3 linked regions of the Saccharomyces cerevisiae S288C genome follow. The gene in region 1 interacts genetically with each later gene. Each region holds a gene or a part of one and is shown in the gene's direction. Other genes may lie near its edges.

Region 1 (3,437 bases):
ATTGCCTTGAGAATGCTCTGTGGGGCTGCTTCTGCCAGTGTTCAAAGTGTAGGTGCTGGAACAGTGGCTGATTTATATATTAGCGAAGATAGAGGTAAAAATTTGAGTTATTACTATTTGGGTCCACTACTGGCGCCGCTACTATCTCCAATTTTTGGATCTTTGTTAGTGAATCGCTGGCCCTGGAGATCCACTCAATGGTTTATGGTTATTTTATCCGGATGTAATGTCATTCTTTTGACGGTGTTACTACCTGAAACATTAAGAAAACAAGATTCTAAAGGCGCTATCGCTCAAATTTTGGCTGAAAGACGTATTCAAGTAGACAATAACGAACGTGGAGAGATACAAGAAGATTATCAGAGGGGAGAAGATGAGACAGATCGAATTGAAAACCAAGTTGCCACATTATCTACTGAGAAGCATAACTACGTTGGAGAGGTAAGGGATCAAGACTCGCTAGATTTAGAAAGTCACTCTAGCCCCAATACTTATGATGGTCGAGCTGGAGAAACCCAATTGCAACGGATTTATACAGAGGCGAGTAGAAGTCTGTATGAATATCAGCTAGATGATAGCGGTATCGATGCAACAACAGCACAAGTTACGAGAATAAGATCAACAGATCCAAAGTTAGCGAGATCGATTCGAGAAAATAGTCTGAGAAAATTACAAACCAACCTGGAAGAGCAAGTCAAAAAAGTGCTATCCAGTAATGGAGGTGAAATCGCTCCTAAACAGGTATCAGCGGTGAGGAAGGTCTGGGACACCTTTTTTGTTTATTTTATCAAGCCTTTAAAATCATTGCACTTCCTAGAATATCCACCCGTGGCACTTGCAATAACATTTTCCGCAATTTCCTTTTCCACAGTATACTTTGTTAATATGACAGTTGAATATAAATATTCAAGGCCTCCTTACAACTTTAAACCATTATACATTGGTCTACTGTATATTCCGAATTCTGTAACATACTTTTTCGCCTCAATTTACGGTGGACGTTGGGTGGACATGCTTTTAAAAAGATACAAAGAGAAATATGGAATTCTTGCTCCTGAAGCTCGTATATCGTGGAATGTTGTTACATCTGTAATATCTTTCCCCATTGCGCTATTGATATTTGGCTGGTGCCTAGATAAAAAATGCCACTGGGTAACGCCACTAATTGGAACAGCCCTCTTTGGATATGCAGCTATGATGACAATTGGTGCTACCCTTTCCTATTTAGTCGATTCATTGCCGGGAAAGGGTGCCACCGGTGTTGCTTTGAATAATTTAATAAGGCAAATCTTGGCTGCAACCGCAGTCTTTGTCACCACACCCATGTTAAACGGTATGGGAACTGGGTGGGCTTTCACAATGCTGGCCTTTATCGTCTTGGGTGCTAGCAGTGTACTTATAATACTGAAAAAGCACGGTGATTACTGGAGAGAGAACTACGATTTACAAAAATTGTACGACAAAATTGATTAATCATATCGGTTAATAAGACGGAAGCGTAAATATTTTCATTGTAGACTTTTCATAGGGTGGCACATACATAGTTTACTTTAGTTTATGGTAAATCGTTATTGTGCTAAAAGTATTATTAAATAATGTTCAACAACATCTCAAGAGGCGAAAAACTCATCAGAAAAAGAAATATAAACGCGAAAGATCATTAATGAACACTAGCCAACAAAAAAAAAGGATATATCAGGTCCACTGGTATTGAGATTGCTAGCGAGGTCAATAAGCTGATGCTGCATCAAAAAATAGCTCATAAAGTTCGAAAAGTCGTCGTCCCAGGTATTTCCTTATTGATTTTCTTCCAGGGATGCCTTATTCTTTTGTTTCTCCAACTCACCTATAAGACTCTTTACTGTAGAAATGATATAAGGAAACAAATTGGTCTCAATAAAACCAAAAGATTATTTATTGTCTTGGTATCATCCATTTTGCATGTTGTCGCACCATCTGCAGTGAGAATTACCACTGAAAATTCCAGTGTTCCTAAAGGTACTTTTTTTTTAGACTTGAAGAAGAAAAGGATTCTTTCTCATCTAAAGTCCAATTCGGTGGCCATTTGCAATCACCAAATATACACGGATTGGATATTTTTATGGTGGTTGGCTTACACATCGAACTTAGGGGCTAATGTCTTCATTATTTTAAAAAAATCGTTGGCTTCCATTCCTATCCTCGGTTTCGGTATGAGAAACTATAATTTCATTTTTATGAGTAGAAAGTGGGCACAAGACAAAATAACCCTAAGCAACAGCCTTGCTGGCCTTGATTCGAATGCAAGGGGCGCCGGCTCACTTGCTGGAAAGTCACCTGAGCGCATAACTGAGGAAGGAGAGAGCATATGGAATCCGGAGGTTATTGATCCAAAACAAATCCATTGGCCATACAATCTTATCCTATTCCCTGAAGGTACAAATCTCAGTGCTGATACTAGGCAAAAAAGTGCTAAATATGCTGCCAAAATAGGCAAAAAGCCATTCAAGAATGTGCTACTGCCTCATTCTACAGGCCTAAGATACTCGTTACAAAAGTTGAAGCCAAGTATTGAAAGTCTTTATGATATTACGATCGGCTACTCCGGTGTAAAACAGGAGGAATATGGTGAGCTTATATATGGGCTGAAGAGCATATTTTTAGAAGGAAAATACCCGAAGTTAGTCGATATTCACATCAGAGCATTTGATGTTAAAGATATTCCATTAGAGGACGAGAATGAATTTTCAGAATGGCTGTATAAAATTTGGAGTGAGAAGGATGCTCTAATGGAAAGGTACTATTCCACTGGATCATTCGTAAGTGATCCTGAAACAAACCATTCAGTTACCGATAGTTTCAAGATCAATCGTATTGAGTTAACTGAAGTGCTAATATTACCAACTCTAACAATAATTTGGTTAGTTTATAAACTTTATTGTTTTATTTTTTGAATTTAAATAATCCTTTCCATATGTTATTAGGTACATATATAGATAGATATAAAACTTTTTTTGATTCTTTATCAATATTACGTTTACATACGTACTCTCGTGCAAGGAAAAATACTTTATCCTAATTCAGGAACATCAAATCATAATTTAATTGTTTGTGCATCGATGGCTTCCCAATCAGCAGCGGTCAAGACTTCATAGCGCTTGTAATTCTTGAGCCAAAAAATAGTGTCATTTCCATCCAAACCCTTTGGTAATTTTTGCTCTCTATAAACCTTCTTCAAAATTTTATGATTATCTGTCATTTTAATTTCATCAACAAATTTAACAAATAGGGGCATAGCATAAGACGGTAGATTTAACCGGCTCAAGGAATCATTTAATAATTTGGTCTTTGCAGTGATGTCAAGAGAGTTGTCAGTTAGTTTAATAACTGCAAAACCAGCTCTACCTTCATATTTAGGTACTTTAATACCAACAACTAGAACTTGTGCATATTGTTCT
Region 2 (4,587 bases), 120 kb from region 1:
TTTATATCAAATGGAAGAAGCGTCCATTAAGAAAAAAGCAAAAAAAGCTGTACCTGCTATTATGGAGAGGAGTAAGCGCTTTTCTCATTAACGTAAAAAGAGAGGTAAGAAAAAAAAGGAAGGGGACCTAGGCACCTCATAGTGAGAAGATTGAAAACGGCGTATCAAACAAATGGTTAAAATGAGAAGAATAACACCTACACGCCTCCTATTCACATGCAGATATATTTCAAACAATGCTTCTCCACCAGTGCAGCCCTTGAATGTGCTTTTCTTTGGTAGCGACACTTTCAGTAATTTCTCATTGCAAGCACTCAATGAGTTGCGTCAAAATAATGGAAGCTGTGGTATAGTGGACAATATTCAAGTAGTAACTAGGTCGCCGAAGTGGTGCGGTAGACAGAAGTCTATTTTGAAATACCCGCCGATCTTCGATATGGCAGAGAAGCTTCAATTGCCACGCCCAATTACATGCGACACCAAGCAGGAAATGTTGGCGCTAAGCAAACTGACACCCAGTCGCCAAGGAAATCCGGAGAACGACGGCTCCGGTGCTCCGTTCAACGCGATCATTGCGGTTTCTTTTGGGAAGCTCATTCCGGGTGACTTGATCCGCGCGGTGCCATTGGCGCTAAACGTCCATCCTTCGCTACTTCCCAGACATAAAGGCAGTGCACCTATCCAGCGAGCTCTGCTCGAGGGTGACACTTACACCGGTGTAACTATACAGACACTGCATCCGGATCGGTTTGACCATGGTGCAATTGTAGCGCAGACGGAGCCACTGGCGATCGCAACAATGCTGTCAAAAGGGAGAGTCAATGATTCGACGGCAGATTTTAATTCTGAGGGCCTGCCTCGGAGGACTGCCATACTGATGGACCAGTTGGGCGCCCTTGGCGCCCAACTTTTGGGCCAAACGCTTCGTGAGAGGTTATATCTACCACAGAACCGTGTGCAAGCGCCAACAGCTTACAAACCCAGTTACGCCCACCGTATAACAACAGAAGATAAACGCATTCATTGGGCGCGCGATTCTGCCGCCGAACTACTTAACAAACTCGAAACGCTCGGTCCTCTGCACGCGTTCAAAGAAGCGACAGCGGCAAGAAAGGACGCTCAAAATTCAGTATTAAAACGAATATTGTTTCATGAGTGTAAAGTGATGAGAGACGCACGTCTAGATAATGGCAGTAAACCGGGCATGTTCAAATATGATGATATTAAAGACTGTATTTTGGTCACCTGTCGCGGCAACTTACTACTATGTGTGAGCCGCCTCCAGTTCGAAGGTTTCGCCGTAGAACGTGCTGGCCAGTTCATGGCGCGCCTGCGGAAAAGATGCGGCGCCCTGAGTGAAAAGTTAGTTTTCCTGTAACCCGGCTCTACATTCCTCTTTTAGTATTCTTCTTCTCCCTTCTTTCAATCCCTCATCCATCGGTCTCTCAACAACTATGGCTGCCAAGCCCTACGCGCTATGAAGAAAAAGAAAAGTAGGCCCGCCTTCTTTCCCAGTTGCAGTTTATTTATGATTCGGAAAGATTGATGTTAGTAATGGCTTGTAGTTCATAACAGAGTGAATTAAGTGTAGGAAGCCCGGAATTAAATATATAGTAAAAAGAGCACAGGGGCGTTTACATCGGGGTAAAAAAAAATGCCTGCACCAAAACTCACGGAGAAATTTGCCTCTTCCAAGAGCACACAGAAAACTACGAATTACAGTTCCATCGAGGCCAAAAGCGTCAAGACGTCGGCTGATCAGGCATACATCTACCAAGAGCCTAGCGCTACCAAGAAGATACTTTACTCCATCGCCACATGGCTGTTGTACAACATCTTCCACTGCTTCTTTAGAGAAATCAGAGGCCGGGGCAGTTTCAAGGTACCGCAACAGGGACCGGTGATCTTTGTTGCGGCTCCGCATGCTAACCAGTTCGTCGACCCTGTAATCCTTATGGGCGAGGTGAAGAAATCTGTCAACAGACGTGTGTCCTTCTTGATTGCGGAGAGCTCATTAAAGCAACCCCCCATAGGGTTTTTGGCTAGTTTCTTCATGGCCATAGGCGTGGTAAGGCCGCAGGATAATTTGAAACCGGCAGAAGGTACTATCCGCGTAGATCCAACAGACTACAAGAGAGTTATCGGCCACGACACGCATTTCTTGACTGATTGTATGCCAAAGGGTCTCATCGGGTTACCCAAATCAATGGGATTTGGAGAAATCCAGTCCATAGAAAGTGACACGAGTTTGACCCTAAGAAAAGAGTTCAAAATGGCCAAACCAGAGATTAAAACTGCTTTACTCACCGGCACTACTTATAAATATGCCGCTAAAGTCGACCAATCTTGCGTTTACCATAGAGTTTTTGAGCATTTGGCCCATAACAACTGCATTGGGATCTTTCCTGAAGGTGGGTCCCACGACAGAACAAACTTGTTGCCCCTGAAAGCAGGTGTGGCGATTATGGCTCTTGGTTGCATGGATAAGCATCCTGACGTCAATGTTAAGATTGTTCCCTGCGGTATGAATTATTTCCATCCACATAAGTTCAGGTCGAGAGCGGTTGTTGAATTCGGTGACCCCATTGAAATACCGAAGGAACTAGTCGCCAAGTACCACAACCCGGAAACGAACAGAGATGCAGTGAAAGAATTATTAGATACCATATCGAAGGGTTTACAATCCGTTACCGTTACATGTTCTGATTATGAAACTTTGATGGTGGTTCAAACGATAAGAAGACTATATATGACACAATTTAGCACCAAGTTACCGTTGCCCTTGATTGTGGAAATGAACAGAAGAATGGTCAAAGGTTACGAATTCTATAGAAACGATCCTAAAATAGCGGACTTGACCAAAGATATAATGGCATATAATGCCGCCTTGAGACACTATAATCTTCCTGATCACCTTGTGGAGGAGGCAAAGGTAAATTTCGCAAAAAACCTCGGACTTGTTTTTTTTAGATCCATCGGGCTCTGCATCCTCTTTTCGTTAGCCATGCCAGGTATCATTATGTTCTCACCTGTCTTCATATTAGCCAAGAGAATTTCTCAAGAAAAGGCCCGTACCGCTTTGTCCAAGTCTACAGTTAAAATAAAGGCTAACGATGTCATTGCCACGTGGAAAATCTTGATTGGGATGGGATTTGCGCCCTTGCTTTACATCTTTTGGTCCGTTTTAATCACTTATTACCTCAGACATAAACCATGGAATAAAATATATGTTTTTTCCGGGTCTTACATCTCGTGTGTTATAGTCACGTATTCCGCCTTAATCGTGGGTGATATTGGTATGGATGGTTTCAAATCTTTGAGACCACTGGTTTTATCTCTTACATCTCCAAAGGGCTTGCAAAAGCTACAAAAGGATCGTAGAAATCTGGCAGAAAGAATAATCGAAGTTGTAAATAACTTTGGAAGCGAATTATTCCCCGATTTCGATAGTGCCGCCCTACGTGAAGAATTCGACGTCATCGATGAAGAGGAAGAAGATCGAAAAACCTCAGAATTGAATCGCAGGAAAATGCTAAGAAAACAGAAAATAAAAAGACAAGAAAAAGATTCGTCATCACCTATCATCAGCCAACGTGACAACCACGATGCCTATGAACACCATAACCAAGATTCCGATGGCGTCTCATTGGTCAATAGTGACAATTCCCTCTCTAACATTCCATTATTCTCTTCTACTTTTCATCGTAAGTCAGAGTCTTCCTTAGCTTCGACATCCGTTGCACCTTCTTCTTCCTCCGAATTTGAGGTAGAAAACGAAATCTTGGAGGAAAAAAATGGATTAGCAAGTAAAATCGCACAGGCCGTCTTAAACAAGAGAATTGGTGAAAATACTGCCAGGGAAGAGGAAGAGGAAGAAGAAGAGGAAGAAGAAGAAGAGGAAGAAGAAGAAGAAGGGAAAGAAGGAGATGCGTAGATGCCATTTACTGACGGTGAAGATACTAGAAACTAAATCTTTCGCCGTTCTATTTATGTAATAAACCCATTATTGCTCATTGGGAGTTGTAAATATTAATGCTCAATGTTTATGTATATCCCTCGCACAGGGGCTTTTTATTTCTTGAGGGGGGGACTAATTGTATAATTGTATGTTTTATAAAAAAGTATATTGCTCTTTTACGACTTTTGGTCTGGTCCCCTATGCTACTAATAACATTTTATTCTCTTCAAACTTCAACGTTCAACCTGCTTTGCCGAGACGGCGATTAGTATCCTACCCAACTGAACCTTTTCTTTTTGTTTCGCTTTTTGTTATACAATGCAATTTCGTCTCGCTGTAGTCTTTGGGTATGTCCTGTCAAATTCGTCACTACATTTTCAAAAGTTGTCTTATCCTTTAGGAGGTCTCGCTGTTGTTTCTTCAATGATCTTGATTTACTAACCAAAAAGTCAATGGATTGACACAATGTATCGTGGTATTGGCGTAAAGATTCTTCATCCATACTAGTAAAATCTGCCATAAGCAATTGCGGTATATGCTGCTCTTGCTCACGCTCCTCTTCCTTTTGAAGAGATTTTAAAGTCATTGGTGGTGTATAGTCAATTTTGAAATTATCCCTCAGGAAGAGA
Region 3 (4,138 bases), on another chromosome or scaffold:
GTAGCTATCAAGAAAATACAACCGTTTAGCAAAAAATTGTTTGTTACAAGAACTATACGTGAGATCAAGCTTTTACGGTATTTCCATGAACACGAAAACATAATAAGTATATTGGATAAAGTAAGGCCAGTATCCATAGACAAACTAAACGCTGTTTATTTAGTCGAAGAGTTGATGGAAACCGATTTACAAAAAGTAATTAATAATCAGAATAGCGGGTTTTCCACTTTAAGTGATGACCATGTTCAATACTTTACATACCAAATCCTCAGAGCCTTAAAGTCTATTCACAGTGCACAAGTTATCCATAGAGACATAAAGCCATCAAACCTGTTACTAAATTCCAATTGTGATCTCAAAGTCTGCGATTTTGGACTAGCGAGGTGTTTAGCTAGCAGTAGCGATTCAAGAGAAACATTGGTAGGATTCATGACGGAGTACGTCGCAACGCGATGGTACAGGGCACCCGAGATAATGCTAACTTTTCAAGAGTACACAACTGCGATGGATATATGGTCATGCGGATGCATTTTGGCTGAAATGGTCTCCGGGAAGCCTTTGTTCCCAGGCAGAGACTATCATCATCAATTATGGCTAATTCTAGAAGTCTTGGGAACTCCATCTTTCGAAGACTTTAATCAGATCAAATCCAAGAGGGCTAAAGAGTATATAGCAAACTTACCTATGAGGCCACCCTTGCCATGGGAGACCGTCTGGTCAAAGACCGATCTGAATCCAGATATGATAGATTTACTAGACAAAATGCTTCAATTCAATCCTGACAAAAGAATAAGCGCAGCAGAAGCTTTAAGACACCCTTACCTGGCAATGTACCATGACCCAAGTGATGAGCCGGAATATCCTCCACTTAATTTGGATGATGAATTTTGGAAACTGGATAACAAGATAATGCGTCCGGAAGAGGAGGAAGAAGTGCCCATAGAAATGCTCAAAGACATGCTTTACGATGAACTAATGAAGACCATGGAATAGTATTCACAAGAACATTTCTGCCATACTTCTAAAATTTCCCTATATTCAGCTTAGCAGTGACACGTTGTGGTCTGTAGGTCAATATGTAAGTAAGAAACTTCAACTCACATATGCACGATGCATGCCAATGGAAAAATGCAAGGAACGAAATGGCGCCACGGCAACAAGTTTTTTTTTTTCGCCAGCAGAAGTACACGAAATGCGGCTTCATGAGCCTCTTCACTGCTTTGCCTAAACGGGAAATGCAGAGAAAAACCAGCCATCGCGTGTGCTTGGAGAGCTGACGCGACTGTAATCAAAGAGGCGATATCAACACCTTTTATCCAGCACTATTCAACAGTGAATGGGCTCCCAAGTAAGTCTTGGCATTGTGCTTTCTATTCTTAAGTATTAAGTAGAAGTTTTGTTTACTGGGTTTGTTTATTCCTGGCTAGATGTTCGCATTCGTTTTCTAGTTGACCATATTTACCAAATATTCACAACTAATACCCAGCCAAGGTAGTCTAAAAGCTAATTTCTCTAAAAGGGAGAAAGTTGGTGATTTTTTATCTCGCATTATTATATATGCAAGAATAGTTAAGGTATAGTTATAAAGTTTTATCTTAATTGCCACATACGTACATTGACACGTAGAAGGACTCCATTATTTTTTTCATTCTAGCATACTATTATTCCTTGTAACGTCCCAGAGTATTCCATTTAATTGTCCTCCATTTCTTAACGGTGACGAAGGATCACCATACAACAACTACTAAAGATTATAGTACACTCTCACCTTGCAACTATTTATCTGACATTTGCCTTACTTTTATCTCCAGCTTCCCCTCGATTTTATTTTTCAATTTGATTTCTAAAGCTTTTTGCTTAGGCATACCAAACCATCCACTCATTTAACACCTTATTTTTTTTTTCGAAGACAGCATCCAACTTTATACGTTCACTACCTTTTTTTTTACAACAATTTCATTCTTCATCCTATGAAATGACGAAAATAACCAGAGATGTTTCGATAACGACAGAAAATTCAAAATCCACATCTGGATCGGCAACGGCTTCATCCGCATCTTTACCTGAGAACGACCACCCAATATTCCATCAACCGCGAGCAAGAATAAGATCTGGTTCGCTGTTCATCGAAGGATCTGATTCATTTCCATCATCAGAAGTGAAGTCATACAATGTTTATATTGATGATAGCAAGTATAGTGAAATCCTCAAAGGAGATACAAATTCAAGTAGTACTGATGGTAAACAAGTCTTTGAAGATGCTAGAGATGACAATTTCCATCAGGAATCACATAGAGATCTAGAGGATTCAATTTTAGATTTAGTACGACGAGATCCAGAAGTAGCAGCATTCCCTTTACCTCCGCCAAATTCAAATGAGAGGAACAGAAATTCCTCAAACGGGTCTTCCGCTGAAACTAACCTAAATGGACACAGCAGCAGCGGTACCATCTCTACTTCGGTGCTGTTGAATATGGGTTCGGCAGAAAAGCACGCTGGGACGACCAGAGGAGATCATATGGAATCATCTTCAATGAAATCCTTCGAGAAACTGGGAACCAGACCTTCTTCTTTATTCTATCCACCACCCGAAGGAACTGCGCCGTACCAGGGACCAAGGGCTACCGTCTCCGGAAATAAGTCTACAAGGCAAACACAAGGTACATACTCATTTCCTTCTATGCGGTATGGTGTAGATCTTGTTTCTCCTGTGGAAGGGGCTGTTGATGTAGCAAAAAGCAGAGTTCCTAACAGCACGCTAAATGGTACTTTTCCCGATAAAGCGTTTATCCCACATGAATTTCAAATTCCTAAAAAGGCCTGGAACAGAATACCAGCGAATAAGTCCACTAGCCTCAAAACCCCAAGAAACCATTCCCTATTAATTGACATATTAAAGCCTTTTGAAGCAGCTGACCTTGCTAATGACCAGCGAAGTTCTTCCGCTGTTTTAAAAAATACAGTGCATTCTAATGGGCAGTATAATCCAACTAATGAAACCTCTGGAACTCGAATGCAAGATCAAAGGCAGAAGAATACCAACGAAATTGATTTAGAGAAAATTCCTAATCCTCAAGTCCCTCTTGGTATCGCAATGGACACCATGCGTAGTCCAAACCAACTACACGAAAAGGAATACGAAAGTAATATAGAAGCTGGTTTAGCTTCTGGGGTCGGAAAAGGTGACAATAGTATTAAGCAACATCAATATAAAAAAATTCCTCAAGAAATTGATCGAGATCAGCAATTAAGTTTTCAAATGGAAACAATGCCCATTCAAAGAATAGATTCCTCCTCCATACGTTCATTTGATTCCCGAATATATGGCTTCTCCGAGATTTATAGTATTCCAAGGGTTATAACTACACTGTGCATCTGCCTTTTTGTTCCGCCCTTATTCTTTTTCTTTTCAATCAATGGAAATAATGGCGTTTCAAATTATAGATTAATGAGAATGATAATGAATTATGAACATAGAATCGGCCTCCTCAAAGGGTTTGAATGGGACATTGACGTACAATGGTTCAGGACATTGTGCTTTGTATTAGGATGTATAGAGATGTTAGCTATCTTTGCTAGCATAGGAATAGGATTTGGTGTGGGAATAATAAGAGAGTAACTCCATGCTGGACTTACTCGTCGAAGATTTCCTGCTACTCTCTATATAATTAGACACCCATGTTATAGATTTCAGAAAACAATGTAATAATATATGGTAGCCTCCTGAAACTACCAAGGGAAAAATCTCAACACCAAGAGCTCATATTCGTTGGAATAGCGATAATATCTCTTTACCTCAATCTTATATGCATGTTATTTGCTCTTATAATTGGTCTCTATTTAGGGAAAAAAGTCGGTTTGAGAGCTTCTCGCGATGTGAAATCTCAATTTGAACTGCACGCCAAAGCTAGCCCATTTCACGAACACCAGAAAGAAGAAATCCCCAAGGATCGCATGACAGAGTATGCTCTCTCATATCGTTGAGTATGAATGCCAATACACTGATCAGCTTTACAAGAAACGTAAAATCTGGCACGATGGTAGACTGAAATACTTTCAGTTAAACAACAGATTCATGCTTTATACGGAAAAGGATAACGTTTTGTTAGCTAGTGAATTTAAAATAAATTCAAAAGAG

What was found.
Region 2: of CST26 (region 1) and SCT1, extra expression of one rescues a mutant of the other (dosage rescue), as found in Saccharomyces cerevisiae (one study listed by BioGRID).
Region 3: of CST26 (region 1) and BUD9, changing one suppresses a phenotype caused by changing the other (phenotypic suppression), as found in Saccharomyces cerevisiae (one study listed by BioGRID).

What each region holds. Positions count from the first base shown.
Region 1 is NC_001134.8:319,912-323,348, reverse strand, and holds CST26 (putative acyltransferase), read left to right. Parts: upstream 1-1,739; coding exon 1,740-2,933; downstream 2,934-3,437. Other genes in the region: QDR3 (Qdr3p), read left to right, coding at 1-1,473; long-chain fatty acid transporter FAT1, read right to left, coding at 3,074-3,437. UniProt on the Saccharomyces cerevisiae protein: Acyltransferase with lysophosphatidic acid acyltransferase (LPAAT) activity. Fatty acyl substrates include 18:0-acyl-CoA, 16:0-acyl-CoA, 17:0-acyl-CoA and 14:0-acyl-CoA.
Region 2 is NC_001134.8:201,884-206,470, forward strand, and holds SCT1 (bifunctional glycerol-3-phosphate/glycerone-phosphate O-acyltransferase SCT1), read left to right. Parts: upstream 1-1,654; coding exon 1,655-3,934; downstream 3,935-4,587. Other genes in the region: FMT1 (methionyl-tRNA formyltransferase), read left to right, coding at 173-1,378; LAA2 (Laa2p), read right to left, coding at 4,224-4,587. UniProt on the Saccharomyces cerevisiae protein: Dual substrate-specific glycerol-3-phosphate/dihydroxyacetone phosphate sn-1 acyltransferase, catalyzing the first and committed reaction in the de novo synthesis of glycerophospholipids and triacylglycerols (TAGs).
Region 3 is NC_001139.9:575,512-579,649, forward strand, and holds BUD9 (Bud9p), read left to right. Parts: upstream 1-1,975; coding exon 1,976-3,619; downstream 3,620-4,138. Other genes in the region: mitogen-activated serine/threonine-protein kinase KSS1, read left to right, coding at 1-993; MTE1 (Mte1p), read left to right, coding at 3,965-4,138.